Drosophila melanogaster: one gene and its partners. The protein of the gene in region 1 interacts with the protein of each later gene in a pairwise test. Each region holds a gene or a part of one and is shown in the gene's direction. Other genes may lie near its edges.

The links.
Region 2: the proteins of ATPCL (region 1) and CG13454 interact in a two-hybrid assay, tested with the Drosophila melanogaster proteins (one large-scale study listed by BioGRID).
Region 3: the proteins of ATPCL (region 1) and CG10137 interact in a two-hybrid assay, tested with the Drosophila melanogaster proteins (one large-scale study listed by BioGRID).

What each region holds. Positions count from the first base shown.
Region 1 is NT_033778.4:15,998,226-16,003,359, reverse strand, and holds the start of ATPCL (ATP citrate lyase), read left to right. Parts: upstream 1-2,069; 5' UTR 2,070-2,172; exon of another isoform or gene 2,173-2,179; intron 2,180-3,072; exon of another isoform or gene 3,073-3,265; intron 3,266-3,389; 5' UTR 3,390-3,396; coding exon 3,397-3,555; intron 3,556-5,107; coding exon 5,108-5,134. Other genes in the region: Tmem131 (transmembrane protein 131), read right to left, coding at 1-808, 862-1,428.
Region 2 is NT_037436.4:15,515,908-15,518,932, reverse strand, and holds CG13454 (uncharacterized protein), read left to right. Parts: upstream 1-1,876; 5' UTR 1,877-1,906; coding exon 1,907-2,245; 3' UTR 2,246-2,400; downstream 2,401-3,025. Other genes in the region: mex1 (midgut expression 1), read left to right, coding at 905-1,103.
Region 3 is NT_033779.5:19,524,671-19,532,697, forward strand, and holds the start of CG10137 (uncharacterized protein), read left to right. Parts: upstream 1-2,015; 5' UTR 2,016-2,101; coding exon 2,102-2,141; intron 2,142-2,239; exon of another isoform or gene 2,240-2,706; coding exon of another isoform or gene 2,707-3,035; intron 3,036-3,090; coding exon of another isoform or gene 3,091-3,283; intron 3,284-3,417; coding exon of another isoform or gene 3,418-3,582; exon of another isoform or gene 3,583-3,699; intron 3,700-4,100; exon of another isoform or gene 4,101-4,107; coding exon 4,108-4,275; exon of another isoform or gene 4,276-4,326; intron 4,327-4,423; coding exon 4,424-5,519; exon of another isoform or gene 5,520-5,635; intron 5,636-6,243; coding exon 6,244-6,358; intron 6,359-6,424; coding exon 6,425-7,440; intron 7,441-7,496; coding exon 7,497-7,642; intron 7,643-7,695; coding exon 7,696-7,797; intron 7,798-7,857; coding exon 7,858-8,000; 3' UTR 8,001-8,027. Other genes in the region: CG10132 (uncharacterized protein), read left to right, coding at 1-296, 354-571; Dpm1 (Dolichyl-phosphate mannosyltransferase subunit 1), read right to left, coding at 804-1,214, 1,283-1,493, 1,551-1,654; CG10165 (uncharacterized protein), read right to left, coding at 2,707-3,035, 3,091-3,283, 3,418-3,582.

The sequences.
Region 1 (5,134 bases):
TCCTCAGAAAGGATTTGAACGGCACCTGGTCGTTTAGCAGATTTAGACGCAGGAGCTCAACAGATTCGTCCGGCTGAATTAGTATCCTTGGATCGCCTACGAGGGTTACTTCCAATATGGATTCATCAATGGGCTCTGTGAGACTTACGTTAAAGAGCATTAGGGGTATTGCGAACTTGTTCCGCACCACCAGCGATCGTTTTCTTTCCAGCGGTTCACCCTCGACGCCTTCTGGCGAGGTGGTCACAAATCTGGTGGCATTTCTGTCGAAGGTGAGCCCTCCATGGAAGATTTCCGCTCGCACCAGCACTGTAAACGGCTGATCCGCACCAGGACTGGTACTGGACTGGTTACTGTTGATCACCAGCAGATCATTAATGATCTCATCGCCTTCGAATAGGCTGGCATCCAACACTATACTTGTGTTGTTTGCGTCAAACGAGAGACCCGGAATCTGGCGAAGGTAACTGCCGAAGAGTTGGCGACTCTCGTCGTTCCGAACGTCCAGCTTGAACTGTAGTGCATCCGGAGCATTTAAAGTGGCCACACGGCCAAAGTCCGCCAGTGGATTGCGGGCGTACACAGAATGTCGTGGCAGAATCTCAAATTCGACAGGAATAAAAATATCCAGTTCCTGCTCTGCGACCTTGATGCGTATGTAGGCGCTGTGATTGCCAGCTGTGCGGCCGTGAAATGATATCCTAATGACCGGCTTTAAAGTGTGTGGAGGAATTTTCCACAGATTTTGTGGGCCCTCCGAGCCACCGCTGGGCAACTCTAACTGAAACTCGCCGCCGCTGCTGTATATCTAAAAGACATGGTTATGGGTAATATACCTACAGAGTGTTGATTAAAACCTACCTCAAGTATCTGCAGCGGCCGCTCGTGCGGGTTGTACATGTGAATCTCTGGCGTGAGTGTCGCATTCATGGGCGCCTTAATGCCCACCAACGGCTTTAGGCGGTACGGGCACTCACTGCCCTCGCCCTGTACCGCCAACTCGGCCTGGCCGAAGGAGGTGTGAATGAGAAGGTCGGCGGCAATGGCGCCTAGTTGGCGCGGTAGGAACACCACGTTGAAAGTTGTATTGCCTTGCGGCGGCACCTCTCTCGTGCCCAGGAAGCTGCTGTAGAACGCCGGACTTGGTCCGGCCACCGCGTTCAGCTGGAGCGTTCGATTGGAGTGTTGATTGAATAGTGTCACCGTCTGAGAACGCGCCTGGCCGACGGACCACGTTCCAAAGTCTAGACGGGACGGCACAAGCCGAAGGTCCCCCAAATCGTGGATTGGTGCCTCCTGCAGCCCCAGGAAAGTCTCCTGCAGGACCTTTTCACCTTTGGCGCCCAAAGTGAAAAGGAAGATTAGGATGAGCAGGATGGGTTCTGCGAATATTCGCAAAAGCGGCCTCATCTGGACTTGTGTGGGCATGGCGTGCGTTCCCTTGATCCTGGGATGCTGTGTGTGTGTGTGTTCGTGTGGGCGGCGATGGCGCAGCTCCTGGTAACCGACTTTCTGTCCAGCTGCTAATCTAAATTGGAGTTTCCTTGGCGTTGCGCTTTATTTATATTATCCAATATCGCTGGCCAAAAATTATTATCGCTTTTCGGTGTGACCGCCGTGGAATACATAAAACATACCATCCGGCACAGGGAAATACTAATCATATGATCATTTTAAAAATATACCATTAAAGCACAGAATCCTTTTTTAAGGCGCATCAGGTGGCTACATAAATTGCTTGATATATGGGCTTATGTTTAGTTGATTTCTTGCTGGTAGTATAATTTAAGCGTTCAATGGCATGCGATTAAATTTAACATTGTATTGTAGCAGATTATTAAAATAATGAAATATTTATATATTATTAAATATATATAAAAAAATATATATTTAATTTGTTTACTATAAATGCTATTAATATTATAGAGCCTAGCGCATACAGTTAATACTGTATATAATATTACATACTGTTGCGCAGTATTTTAAAACGCGCCAAAAAGTATGCTCGAAAAAAATTAATAACAAAATGTATCGCCATGTATTCGAGGGAAAACAGTGAAAGAGCTATCGAAACTTGGCCATCGCTAGCTAAAGAAACGACAACCGAAAGAAAGTTGCAGTTTAGTTTACGTGTTAAAATTAATCGCAGGTCGTGAAGCTGATTTAACTAAAGTGAGTGCTCTCGTCGCCCGTTAATATACCCGCGTATATACACCCACAATTTCATTGAATAGTGACGAGTACAAAGGAAAACATGACCAAATGAAATTTCGCACAGATCGTTCGGCTTGCTCCACGCACTTACACTCACACACACACACACACACACACACACACACACACACTATAATCACATATTCGCTGAATATTGCAGAAATATTAATGCGAAAATCAGCAAGCATTTTGCAATAATTACTGAAGGCGAAGATTAACAGCTATTTGACCCACGAACGGTGATGCAACAGCCCTATTGATTTTGCCCACTTTCACCGCTTACAACATTTTTAGTTTGGGCTTCGGTTTCGGTTTCGCATTTAGTTTTTTTTAGTTTCACCAGCAGGGCAGCCAATTTGCATACGCATCGGCTAGGCGTGAACTTCGTTTCCAGATGTAAATTAGATCGTGTGTACTTGCAAAGTCATCAGCCCCCTTCAATGTGCGCTCTTCATCGAATTAGATTCCATGCCATTTCCGATTTGCTAGCCATTGGCTGTTCATGTATTTTTGGGAGAAAGTTCGGCCCTCAGCCAAAGTGACCCACTGACTTGACTAACTGGGCTTGATATCCAAGCTGCAATGATATGTTGATAACCGGTTCTACAAAAGGTGCTTCCCCACACCCAACGCAATGGTAATGGTCCAGGGCCAGATCCCGTTGCAGACCTAATCTCTGGGAAACAACCATCTGGTTGAGCGAGAGCCATGTACATATCAACACATAAGCCGAAAATTCTAAAGACCCGAAGCCGTTGGAGTCGCGAAGCTTGAAAGCCGAGGCAGCGCCACGAAATCGAAATCAGAATACGCCTGTTGCTGGCTCATTTTCATGGATGGTGCTGTCGCGCATTCGATTTCAGTTTACTTCCAGACCCGACGACGTGCAGGTTGATTAGCTAGCTGCCCAGCCTGTAGCTACCCAAAGCTGAAGCCGCCCAGCACGCACACTTTGAAACTTACTCGAAACCTATTGCACCTGCACACAGTCGTGCTCTAATCAATTCTAAGTAAATAAATCAAAGTTTGAAAGTACAGACAAAGTCAAACGGTACGCGCGAACACACGAGACCCTCCTTTATTTGTATTTGAAAGAAGGCTATATTAAATCTTAATTGATTTGTTTTTATATATTTTTGTATTTTTGTTTTTTTGTTTTTTTGTATATTCTGTAGCTTCATCATGTCGGCGAAAGCAATCACCGAGGCCTCCGGCAAGGACATCCTGAACCGCCATCTCAACACCCATGGCGCCGGCGCGGCCACTTGCCGTTTTTCCACAGTAAATTCCACGACAGATTGGTCCAAGCTCGCCGTTGACCATCCCTGGCTGCTGACCACGGTGAGTGCCAGTTAAAAATAGCCGCGAAACTCGCGGAACTCGACGATTGCGAATCAGCCGATATGTAGGAACAACAATTGGGCCAGCGACAACAAACGCTCGGCGGGATTGTCATTGAACTTGACCTCGTGGTGGACGCTTCGACCACCACGCCGATGCCGAATGACTAAGCGCGGCTCCTGATAAGAGCGAATTGGGCGCCAGTCGGTCGCGCGAGTTGATCGCTGGAAATTGCGGAGTAGACGGACGGACGCGGGCGCAGACCGACAGCTCACCCCATGGCGCACTCTGGTTTTTATCAGATTGCCGGGGACCCAGTCGTAGGTCGCGTGGCATGGCGTGGTCTTGGCCCCTTTGGTTATCCGCCGGCGGATCAGGCTCACCTCATTTGCGAACACGATAAGCGTGCGTGGAGATTGGGATTCACGATCACGCAGCTATCTCTGATTGACCTTCCGATCGATAGTGGAAAGTTTGGCTGTAGCCAAGTACTTATCTTGAGCACTTATAACGGTTGAGTGGGAAATAAGGGGAAGCTAACATGTTCCGTGTTTGTTTTAGAAAACCTTTATCACCGAAATCCATATGTTCGAAATCTTATCATCAAGTTATTTGTTGATTTTGGAGCGTCTCAATTTATTGACCTTACCTAGCATTGTTGCGCCGCCTGAATTTCTAAAGAATAATTTCAATTCAAATATGCCGGAGATTTTAAAGTGGCGAAGTGTCGCTGAGTCGAGTGGGGGATTCAGGGAACTACTCTACTATCTTTCAAACAATTTTCGCAAAATAATATATTCTATTGAAATGTGATCAGTTAAAACTTATCTATAAGTTGTTTGTTGACTCTAGAGGGAGCGTCCCTATACTTAGTCTTAGTAATCTAAAGGCAGGATTGTGAAACTCTGATTATCAGGAAGGTGTTTTAATTTATGACATGCAGATAGAAGGTATTAACTTTCTGATTTAATAGACTTATTGTCTTGTTGTCACGTTTTCGTTTGAAGTGCATAATACTTTTATTACGTTACTGATAATGATGTTTACCCCACTGAAGGGGGAGAAGCAAACAATCAAACACAATACAACTCCCTTTAAATAGTTTCACTTAGAGCTATTAGTTTAATATTTTGATCTCGTAATTTTATATGCAATTAAGATAGATCCGAAATTTAGTGAGCATAATGGGAGTTCTTTCGGCTTTAATTACACGACAAAGTGAATCGCCTGACGGACATCTCGGATGATATTTCGTAGTCGGACTGTTTGCTCAATTTACACTCGTACGATCTTCTAATAAGCATATGAGATGTGTTTTTGTGTGGGCACAAGTACAAGTTCGGGTAAGGGTACGAGCACTGGCATTGTCATTGGCAATGACGCGGGAACGACCCCTGATGTTATCGGCTGATCTTTTCGACAGATGCTGATCGTTGGAACCGGCTTTTTTACTGACGCGCCGAGATCAGAAGGCACAAGTTCAACGATTTGTCGCTTATTTCATTTATATTTAGCATACATTTAATTAGCCCCGTCCTTTCCTTTGTTGCAGCCGCTGGTGTGCAAGCCCGATCAACTT
Region 2 (3,025 bases), on another chromosome or scaffold:
CCTTTGCGACCCTAATCAAATTCTTTGGTTATTTTTTTTTTGTTTTGATTTGGAACAAAATAGTCAATAAAATCAAATGTAGGGAATTATGTGCTGGAATCGACGCTTAATCGTTGTCATTGTGTTTATCGTCGTGCTAACAGTAGTTTTCTTTATAATATTTCATATATATGATAAGTATTACGATCAATCCCTCTTCACTCGAGATGTTTAAGTGGCAAATAGCTTTATTCTGTATTTTTATTCTGCTGGATGCACCAGTACGAAAATGATGGATAATACGATACAGATACCTCGGTCGAATGGAAACATTGTAAGCTCCGTTTTCCAATAACTCTCACCCATTTTTCTCACTGGCGTAGTGATAATTATAGTCGACTTGTTATCAGTCTATTTGTTATTTTTTCGGCCGATATGATTAAAGCTTTCAATACCTGTAGACCCCAAAATGCGGTCGATGACAGTTACCCGCTTCAGTTAATATTTTGTGTTGGTCAACCACGCATCGGGAATCGGAAATATACTGTACAGTATATCTATCTATAATAGAATAACCCAAAAAAGTCATCACCATGTGCAACGCTCTCTGTGAATGCCTCAAATGTCCCGGCAAAGTGGTTTGCTGGTAAGTTTCCATCGGTTTCTGGCTCACTAATCATCATATACAAATATATACTATATATATATAAATTATATGTGAGAGCTCTTGACCAGCTCTGGATGAAGCCAATTTGGGAAATTTAGAAATGGGTATCTTCAGTTACAAGCATCCTAAGTATTCGGGATTCAACCTGATTGAAATGAACTAATTGAACTGATCTGACAACAAGATCTGACATCCAGGATATCTCCATCTTGATCATGTGTAAAACTTTTCTAATCAGATCTTTCCATATCCTTGCAGCTGCTGTTCCTGCGCCTGCAAGATGCTCCTGAGCATCGTGTTTTCTGCGCTCCTGATGGTCGTGGTGATCGGCTTGATTGTCTACTTCACGGTCTTCTATCACAAGGATAAGAACACGGATGAGGTGCAGAAGCAGGTCGCCCAACTGACGCCCATTGTGAAGCGCAGCATACGCGACTACTTCAACAAGGAGTACTGATCTGAGGACATGAATTTATACTATAGGCCATATTAATAATAACTCCGTCGAAATCGAAATTGAAACGAACTAAGAACCAAAGCCGTTCAGTGCATGACTTAATCTAATCGCGTCGGATGCTCGTTATGGGATTTTTTCTTATCTATAGATAGTTTGGGACTCAATTGAATGGGCAATTTGTGCGTTCTTTAGAAAGGTAGATAATGTTGGAGCGGCAAAAAATGTGACTCACTGTATACCTTACAATACATTTTGAACTCGAAACCCAGTAAAGCATTCACAATATATATTTAATGTATAATATGTATGAATGTAAGGCAGATTAAAAAAGTTATATTGTACTGGATGACACACTATAAACAAGACAATAAAACTAAAATATCTATAGAAAATTGAAAGTGGAAATAAAAGTAAGTGTATCATTAATTAATAGCATCTCTACATACTGGCTTTTAAAATTTGTAAATCTAAAATAAGCTAATATTTTAAGCTTGGGGGAAAGAAATTAGAAAACTTCGTTATTGAAGTGTGAGATATTCACTAATAAATATTTGAGCTAGGGAAGTTCAAATATTTTTTTAAGATGAGGGTTTACCAGCAGGGAAACCCCTCATTACCACAGTCCTTCCAGCTGTTTTCCTAGTTTTATGTACACCATTGTTTGGGATCAGGTAGCCTAGAACACCGTCGAGGGTTGAAAAGTGTCCAAGATCTGGTGGTCCGTTCAAATGCATTTCAAACTCGTCCCCTTGACTTGCTTCAATCAACTTTGGGCTCAGTTGTTCGCCAGCATCAGGTTCACAATGTCCTCCGATTCCACGCTGTACTTCAGTGCCGTCGAGGATATGTTCAAGGAAGTGTTAACAATAGGGGACGAGAAGAGGGATCCTGGAAACGAGGATTTCTCCGAAACACCTAAACGTTGCGTACGATTGCGCCAGCAAAAGTTGTTCGCGAACGATACCGCGAGTTTTGTGATAGGTCGCCGTTCGCCGAGGATTGAATCCAAAATCGATCTCAACAGAGATGTATCTCCTGGAAGGCGAAAGGAGCTGCGCGGCGAGGAAATCCTTCGGATGCGCAAGGATCGGGCGGAAAAGGAGCGTCTGAGGCCCCAAAGGCGTCTTACCATGCGGATTTAGTGCCACACCTATCGATATGATAGCTATCCACCGAGTTCATTGTGTTCCCCAATCGAAGTGCTTCCCTGTTGTATGCTCTACTTTAGGATTTATTTTTAAGCTCACCTAAGTATGCTAAGTTTTGAGTGCCAATAAATAAAGTTATTAGTGAATACAATTGGTCTGCTAATGTTTTTTACTTTGTTATTATATATCATATATACAAATCATATATATATATATATATATATCAGGTCAATTGAGTAAATATTTGTTTCTTAAAAGATTGCTGCTATACAAATAAGGCACATATTTAAATATAAAACTTTATTTAGGCAGGTTTTTCTTTCATGATGCCTAAATTATTACCCACATTCAATTAAAACGAAATATATTTCATAAAATATATGAAATTGTTTTCTGTTTTCACATATTTAACAATAACTCTTTAAATCTTTTACTAACAGTGTGCTCCAACACAAATTTATTTGTACTGAATACAATTTTAAAGGAAAAACAAAAATATAATATTTAAGTTTTTATAAACATTTTATAGCAATTTAGCTAGTTCACGAACCTTTTTACAGTCAACGTAGACATTGTGTAGAGTATTATTTTTATCAAATTCAAAGAGATACGATTTTGTAATCCTTTTTTTGTAAAACGTATCAAAACGCATACACTTAAAAAATTTGACTAAAAGAACAATTTAAAGATTTACTTCAATAATTTCTTGTTTGTATTTTCTGTTAATATATCAAATTTTAAACCTCCCATGAACAAACATATTTCTTACTTTTG
Region 3 (8,027 bases), on another chromosome or scaffold:
GACGCCCAACTTCATTGTGGTATACGACTTACAGAGCGGCACTCTGTTTAAGAAATGGAAGCCCGCCTGCAACACAGTTTCCCTGGCCATCTCCCAGGTGAACGCTTGCGTCATCGCCGGCCTAGAAGATGCCAAAATCCTAATCTGGGACCTGGTCACGGGCAACTGCAAGAGCACCTTGATCGGCCACAATGCACCGGTAACGTTCTTGAAGCTGGATCCATTGGGAAAGGTGCTGCTCTCCTACGACAAGGAGGGACGTGATTCGGCCGTCCGTATGTGGGAGTTGAATTCGGGTATGTACCACGGTCTTCGCCCTACTGAACTGTATAGTCATCCTTCTGGTCTTGCAGCCAAATCCCTGGCCGTGTTTAAGCCACCGGCGCAAGTGAGCACTTGTGAGATTCTGCCGAACGGAGCCTTCGTGGTGCTGGCTCTCAAGGATCGCAACTCCTTGCTGACCCTGGCTTTGAAGAACTACGGCGGAGGATCGGGCGCCCTCGACGATGACTGTGGCACTCTTTACGGCAATCCAGACAACCAGCACAAAGTTTTCGACTTGAGTAATTAAATCAATTAACGCTAGTTATCATTATTCAAATTATAAATGAAGCATAACAGGGTGCTAGACCGAGGAAGGCAGAACTCTGAATTATTATAAATATGGCAAACAAATTTCTCATGCATAATTCATTAGATGTATGTAAAATTCTTTGAGCAAATCTTACCAAATGTACAAAGCAAAGAAAATCCAAAGAACATTAAAAATTTAAAAATCTACCCAGCTAATGGTGGTTTTCTCTTTATGTGGTCGCAAACAGATACAAAAGGTTCTTGGCAAACTGAATAATCTCGGTCCCGCCGAGCTTGGAGGTGCCATAAATACGGTCCACGAAGGTGATGGGCACCTCGGCGATGGTGTAGCCGTGCTGTCTAGCCCGAACGAGCATCTCCATTTGGAACACGTAGCCTTTGGACACGCAGCTGGCAATGCATTTCTCCAGTACATCCTTCTTGTAGAGCCTGAAGGAGCCGGTCAAATCACTGGCGTTCGGACGTAAAAGCACCTGGGACAAAAAGTTGGCGCCGCGCGAGATGAGCTTGCGCTTGAAGTCCCAGCCAAAGACACCTCCATTTCCGGCATACCGAGTGCCGGATACAATGTCATAGTTGCCCTCCTGTTGCAGCTTAATGAACTCGGGAATGAATTTGGGCTGAAGCGGAAAAAATATAGCTTATTAGTTTATCTTATTATTAGTTTAACCCTGTTATCTAGACTCACATGATGACTCAAGTCCGCATCGATGATAACTATAAAGTCGCCGGTGGCATGTTTGATGCCATGTATGTAGGCCGTTCCGAGTCCCAATTTGGAGCCACGTGGTCTCAGCACAATCTTGTCCTCCCCGTAGATCTTCTGCAGGTCTTTGGCCACGTCTAGTGTTCCATCCGGACTACCATCATCAATCACAATCACCTCGTATTCCAAGCCGCTGCAAAGGGGGAGCAATTAATACCTGAATTTGCACCTTAGAGCAGCCGCTACTCACCTCGCCTTCATGTATTTCACAATTAGCCATATTATAATGGGCAAATTATCCTTTTCATTGTAAGTGGGCATCAAAATGCTGTATTTATGGCCATTTGTTGGCATTGTAATTGTTCTCAAGAACCGTGTAAATAATTTCAATTAAAACTACAAGAGTGTTGGTCAATTCAATAATACAAAACAGCTGGCTCGAATCGATAGCGAAGTCGATAGTGGCTAGATAGTTAGATAGTGGCTAAAACGTATCGAATTCCAAATGTAAATTTAAATGTGTTAAATAAATGATATTAAAATATCTAATTTGACAAAATATTGACTTTAATATAAAGCTGAACAAATAACATTCTATGTAGATGATGTATGTTTTTGGTATATTCGCCCAGCCGAATAAAGTTTTATAGTATACTTTCCAGAGCACAAGGGTAAAAATCATAAAAAATTGTGCGGTCACACAGTTCGCGAACGGCCGCTTTAAGAATAAGTGCTCACTTTATGTGCGGATTAGCGAATAAAAGTGGCAAAGTAGTGCGCTTTTGACGGCGCGACGTCAACATGGCTAAGAAAATACCTTTTAACGTGGTGTTCGCCTCAGGTAAACAAAACTTCGGATATATTATGAACTGAAAGCTGCAGAAAGATTTTTATTATTTATAGTTTTCTTATTTGTTTGCTTTATTTTGTGTGTTTTTTATGTTCTTAATTGCATTTTTAGTTGCGACAGGATTTGGCTGAGAGCTAAACGTCTTCCACCTCCCTTTCTTCCTTTAAAATTCGCTGCACTTGAGAAATCGATAAATCACGCATACGCCTAGTGCGCCAGGACGTTGGAATTTAAAATAGACTGGCGCTGCCTTTTTAATTGCAGCTAATCAGCTGGCAATAGTCCGATTTAAATATGGCCAGGATGCTAAATCAATTTTCCAAAGTCTCGGCCAATTTACCACGTCCTAAAACCACTGCAACCACGATGACTGTAATATTTCATTATAATATTGTCAGACTGCCGGGTTGTCGACTCTTTTTGTGTCTGCATGTGCAATTTGAGTTGCGGCCAGAGATTTAAATTTGGCCAAACGCCAAGCTCTTTATTTTCATGCTAGGACCTGACAAATTTTGGTTAGCCTCGATGGCCTCAGCCTCATCCTCCCCAGTATCACCTACTGGGCCTGCTCCGCCTTCTTTTTGGACCGATACTTAAGTTTAGTTAGAAGCGATGACACCGGCGCGATAATGGTGAGTCCATAAACAATGCCGGTAATCAGCATCATGCCGGGAATAAAGTCAGTATCCACATACTTGGTAAAGAATTTCGAATAGTAGCCCAGGTAAATGGCGCCCATTCCCAGACTAAAGGTGACCAATCCAAATAGATTATGGCGGAAGCGAAGCTCTGATGGAGGCATTACTTTCAGGGCGAACTTGGGCTGGAAATAGTTGACAAAACCGCCTACAATGCTGGCCGCGCAGAAAAAGGAAGCAGCTCCCCCTGCAAAATGTCAGCTTTAATCGGTTTTCCTGAATTAACCTAATTATTTACTCACCCACTCGGCCGTGCCAGGTGTTAAAGTGCACCTCCTTGCTGGAAAATTTACCCAGGGAGCCCAACAGCACCATGGAGCCACCCACAATCTGCAGGATGGCGTGGAAGCGCGACTTGTTTCGGTGCGACAGCCAACGGGTGAGCGGGTTCACTTTCGAATGCGACATCATGGCCTGGGCGATAAGGACGTGGAACTGTCGAGAGCAAGAAAAGCCTTTTAATTCAGCTCCAGTTCGATAAGATAACAAGTGACGTTGCATGTCCGTGTTATCCAGGTCGATCTAACACTATTGATTTTGTGGCCAAGTGCTTATCGCCGTGTACTCACTCCAGTCCCGGTCATAAACATATGCATGGCGGTATCCTTGAACTCCAGACTGCGCGCCAGTATGAAAAAGAAGACGGCCACCAGAAAGATCAGAATGTGGTTGATGCTATTCAGCAGGCTGTGGATTTGCAGCCAGGCAGTGGCTTTCGTGTAACCCTCCGCCATTTCAAAAGATTCAATAATACTATCTGATTCAGTAACAAAACACGAACGGCTGAGCGACGACTAAACTAGCATGTTAACATCGACATCGCTTAAATATAGAAGAGAAGAGCGTGGAACCTGAGGATAGAGAACAACAAGTTAGATTCGTTTGTACTCGTACAGCTGCGTTCGAATAAATAGTGATAGTTGAGAATTCTTAAAGTAACTCAAATGTTTTTGTTTATGCTTTCCATTTTATACGTTTCATCGCATATATAACTGATAACCTGTTTCTGAATATTTAATAGATTTTAAGGCTTATTATTTTGGGCACGCTTGAATGCTAGCTTTCGTTTTGACCGCTGCTGTTAGCTTAGCAACCGAAAGAGAACGAAACATAGTCCGATATCGTTATCATGTGCAACTATTTAGCTGAGTGTGCGAAAAAGAGACTTATTAAGAGAGTCATAATGGCCTGCGCCACCTATACATAGGTTATAACGTCATGAAAGTAATGATGATTGGATCGTTTCGCTTGCCTTTCAGACGAGGATGTTAACTTTCCGGCTAGCGAGTTAAACAATCACGGCCCCACAGTTCACGGATGGCGAAGTGCTCCGAACGGCAGCCTCACCTCACATGACATCATCCTCCGATTCCAGCAGCCGGCCAAGATCTATCGCATCCAGCTCCTGGCACACCAGTATCTTATACGTAAGTTAATGTGCTAAGTTAATTGGAATTGGCTACAAGCCTAATAAGTACCTAGAAATAATCAATGCCTGATCTTTAGTATGATCAAAGATGAACATATAAACAAACAGCTTGAGTATTCCCTATAATGTGTTGTTTTTTCGTTTAGCTGAGAAAGTAGAACTCTGGCTGCACTACTCGCCCAAATCCCTGCCCAGCACTCCATCCTCGCAGTACTTTGACTTTTTGGGTTTTGTTGCCCTGGCGGATAATGCCAACACGAACTACAAGTCTCGGGAGCTGCAGAGCGTAACCGTGTGTCCACGTAGGGGCACACATCTTAAGCTGCGTCTGATTGGCGTCCAAGGAAACGACTACAATGACACAGGCCAGATTTCCCTACTAGCGGTAAATGTCCTGGGCGAGGATCTGGAAGTGGGGCCAAATAATGGCAACGGAGAGGAGCACTTGGCCAACGAGGCCCCACCGTTGGACACGGCCACCGGAGAACTGGCCCTGGCCTCCGTCTGTGATGACCTGCTTTTCTCCATGTATGTGGAGGAGTCAATAGTGCAGACCATCCGAGAGTTGGAACAGCGAAAGATTTTGGCCGTTAACTCAGAAAGATTCGAGTACGCCCGCAAACTGAAGCTATGCATGACAGCTTTAAGGACTGCCGGAGAACGTTTGGGGCGCTATGCTCTGGCCAAGAGGCAGGCTGTTCAGCAGGAGGACTTTACCACGGCCAGGCTACGCAAGGAGCAGATCGAGATGTACCGGGCGGCAGTACTTCGACAATTGCAGGTGCATCAGCTTCTGGAACCGCAGGGTGTGACCTTAAGCTCCAATGACCAAAGCTGCGAGATCTATGCGGGTGGGAAGCCCAGTCTGCCATCGGCTCCTAGCCTGCAGGATGTGGCACAGGCACTTGCGGAAGCCACCTTCAGTCCCAAGAGCATGACGAGTCTCAGCTTAGAGGACAAATCCTCGACCGATGGCTCCCAGCCTGGTAACGACAATACGTTGACAGCTCCGGCACCTGCTCCAGCACCCGCTCCTGCGCCCACCTCTTTGCAGGCCACGCCCACTCCCACGCTGGGGGGCTGGCGCAAGTCCCACGACGAGCTGCCGCAGTCGCCACGTCTGCCTTCAAGGCACAGCTCACCAATGTCCAGCCGACAGGGATCGCTGCGCAGGCGCAACAAGAGCGTTCCACGAAACTCCTACGAAGACTACGAGGAGCGGGCCATTCCCACGCTGCGACAGTGAGTAGCGGGCGTAGAGAGTCGTAATCGTTGTCTGGGTGTCTAGTGAATACGTAAACAATTGTGGAATAGTAATTACTTCGTTTGTTTACTGGAAACAGCTGTCTATTACAGTGTTGCATGATAACCGGTACTCTTAGTTTGAATGTTTGTCAACACTAGCGACCGTTAGAAACAACACCCGTTACTTTTTTTAATTTAAGATTTAACGCTCGCCCAGAATTTCAAAGAACGAAAGAGAATCTATTAGCTTAATTTTAAGTAAAGCCGTTTTATCTGCTCTAAACACATGAAAAGGATTTATCTTTTTAAAGCAAAAGCAAAAATTCTTTATATATTGAAATTAGGTATTTTTGAGATACTTTTAAATGTTAGGCTTTTTGACAGAAATTTTGCTTTTAGATATTTTAAAAAGTATTTAAAATTTGCTTTTAGAGAAAAGTATTTATGTTTTTATTAACAACTTAGAAACTTTTATAAAAGATTAAAAATAGTTTGAACGGTTTCATAGTTAATTTCATATAATGAAATTTCGAAACTATACACAAAACTTTAAATTAGGCGTTATTTGAACGCATTTGAAAGTAACATGTTGTTAGATTTACCTTTAATCGTACTTACCTTTCTACTCCTATATGTATATTGTAACCGCATCCGTAAACGTTGCCATTCCGATACAACAAACACAAACCGCTCACAGTTCAAATACTAATGAATTTTTAAGGGAGTGCCAAGGCAACGCGCTACTGGAAGCGGATCCGAACCGTGGGCGTTCGCGCCTGAACGACCGCGAGCGTCGCCAGGCAGCGCTTCCCATCCTGGTCTTCGGCAATGAGCTGGTGAGTCCCCCATTAAATCCAATAGATAACATATTCAATACGTGCCCTACATATGTATATTCCCAGGTGGAGCAGTTCTATTCGCGTCAGTTTCAGGACCGCGAGGATGGCTTGATGCGTCTGCGTAACTTCCTAAAGGAGCACGACCTGTTAGAGGCGTCGAGCAACGAGCACGCTGCCAGTCCCAACAAAGTGGCCCGCAGCGCCGCCCTTCTGCTGCATCGCGCTGTAAGAGATGCCGTTTACTCCGTGTTTAGCCAAGCTACTGAGACGGTACGCATGCTGTTCCTAGAGTATGTGCCCGGTCGAGTTTCCCCCAACGAGGTGGCACGTTGCGTGGACCGCCTGCTGCCCGAATTGCTGGCCAAGTCCGGCGATCCATCTGCTCGATTGCACACTCTGGCCCAGCACACGATCCTAAGCATCGCCGCCTGTCCGGAGGTGGCGGAGCAGCACCTGGTTGCGCCAGCACTATCACGAAGCGTTGGATCCGGAACCCACCAGCGACTGGCAATGAGTCGGCTGCAGATGCTGGAGCAGCTGGTCAACACTCAGGGCATTAGCACGGACAAGCATAGTGGACTCACCTGCAGGGCATTGTCCGAGTGCGGCTGCTCCGGCATCCATCATCCAGCGGAGCCTGTGCGAAAGGTGGCCGAGCGCATCCTGCTGCTCGTCTACAAGGTGAATCCCCGACTGGTGCGCAAGCAGTTACCTCCGGATGACGACATCACGCGTCGCAATCTCTTGTACCGCCAACTCTTCACCGAATTTGACAAGTTGGATCTGGACCGCAAGCAGGAGCTGCTGGAGGCTAGCAAGTATGGCGGGGGTCACAGCTCGGGCGATGCGGCAACACCGCCGGCGGATAAGGCGTCCACCAGCTCAGATGCCTCTCGACTGATGAATAGCCGCAGTGGTCATAACCTAGGCCCAATGGCCAGCTCCAGTAATGGATATGCCAGCTGCAATGGAAAGCAGCAGTACAACGAGCAGCTCAAGCGCTCCATGCTATCCGTGAGCAACTCGCGCAAGGGATCCGCTTCCAACTCGGAGTCCACTGAAGACAACACACCCAAAATGTGTGTAGTAAAATTGAATTCTTCAAGGATCCGCAATAATATTAATACTCTTTTAGACGTTGCCCCTTTTGCGACTGGTCGTGTGCCGGCAGTGACGCTACTCAGTTGGACCGACACTACTGGAAGGCGTGTCCTTTCCTCACCAAGTGCCCACAATGCAGTCAAGTGCTGGAGGTTGCTGCTCTGAACTACCACCTGACAAGTAGGTCTGCAATATAATACCGTAGGATAACTAATATTGTGAATATTCCCCAGCGGAATGCGATGCCAAGGAGAGCTACGTGGTCTGTGTCCGTTGCACTGAATCGGTGCACAAGCAGCTATATGAACTACATCAGATGGAGGACTATTGTCGGGGTAGAAACTTGAAATTGAGATAAATTCTAGAGTCACTATATCACCATTTCCCCTCTCCAGAACTGAAAACGGGTGCTGCTCGATGTCCCCTTTGTCATGACGATGTTCACCTTCCCCAAGACGGCGGCTGGAAATTGCATCTCCTCAGCGCCGGCGGCTGTCCCGGGAATATACGCAAGAGGAATCTCAAGAAGTCAAATTAGAAAGCGTACACTTAATCGATCTATTGG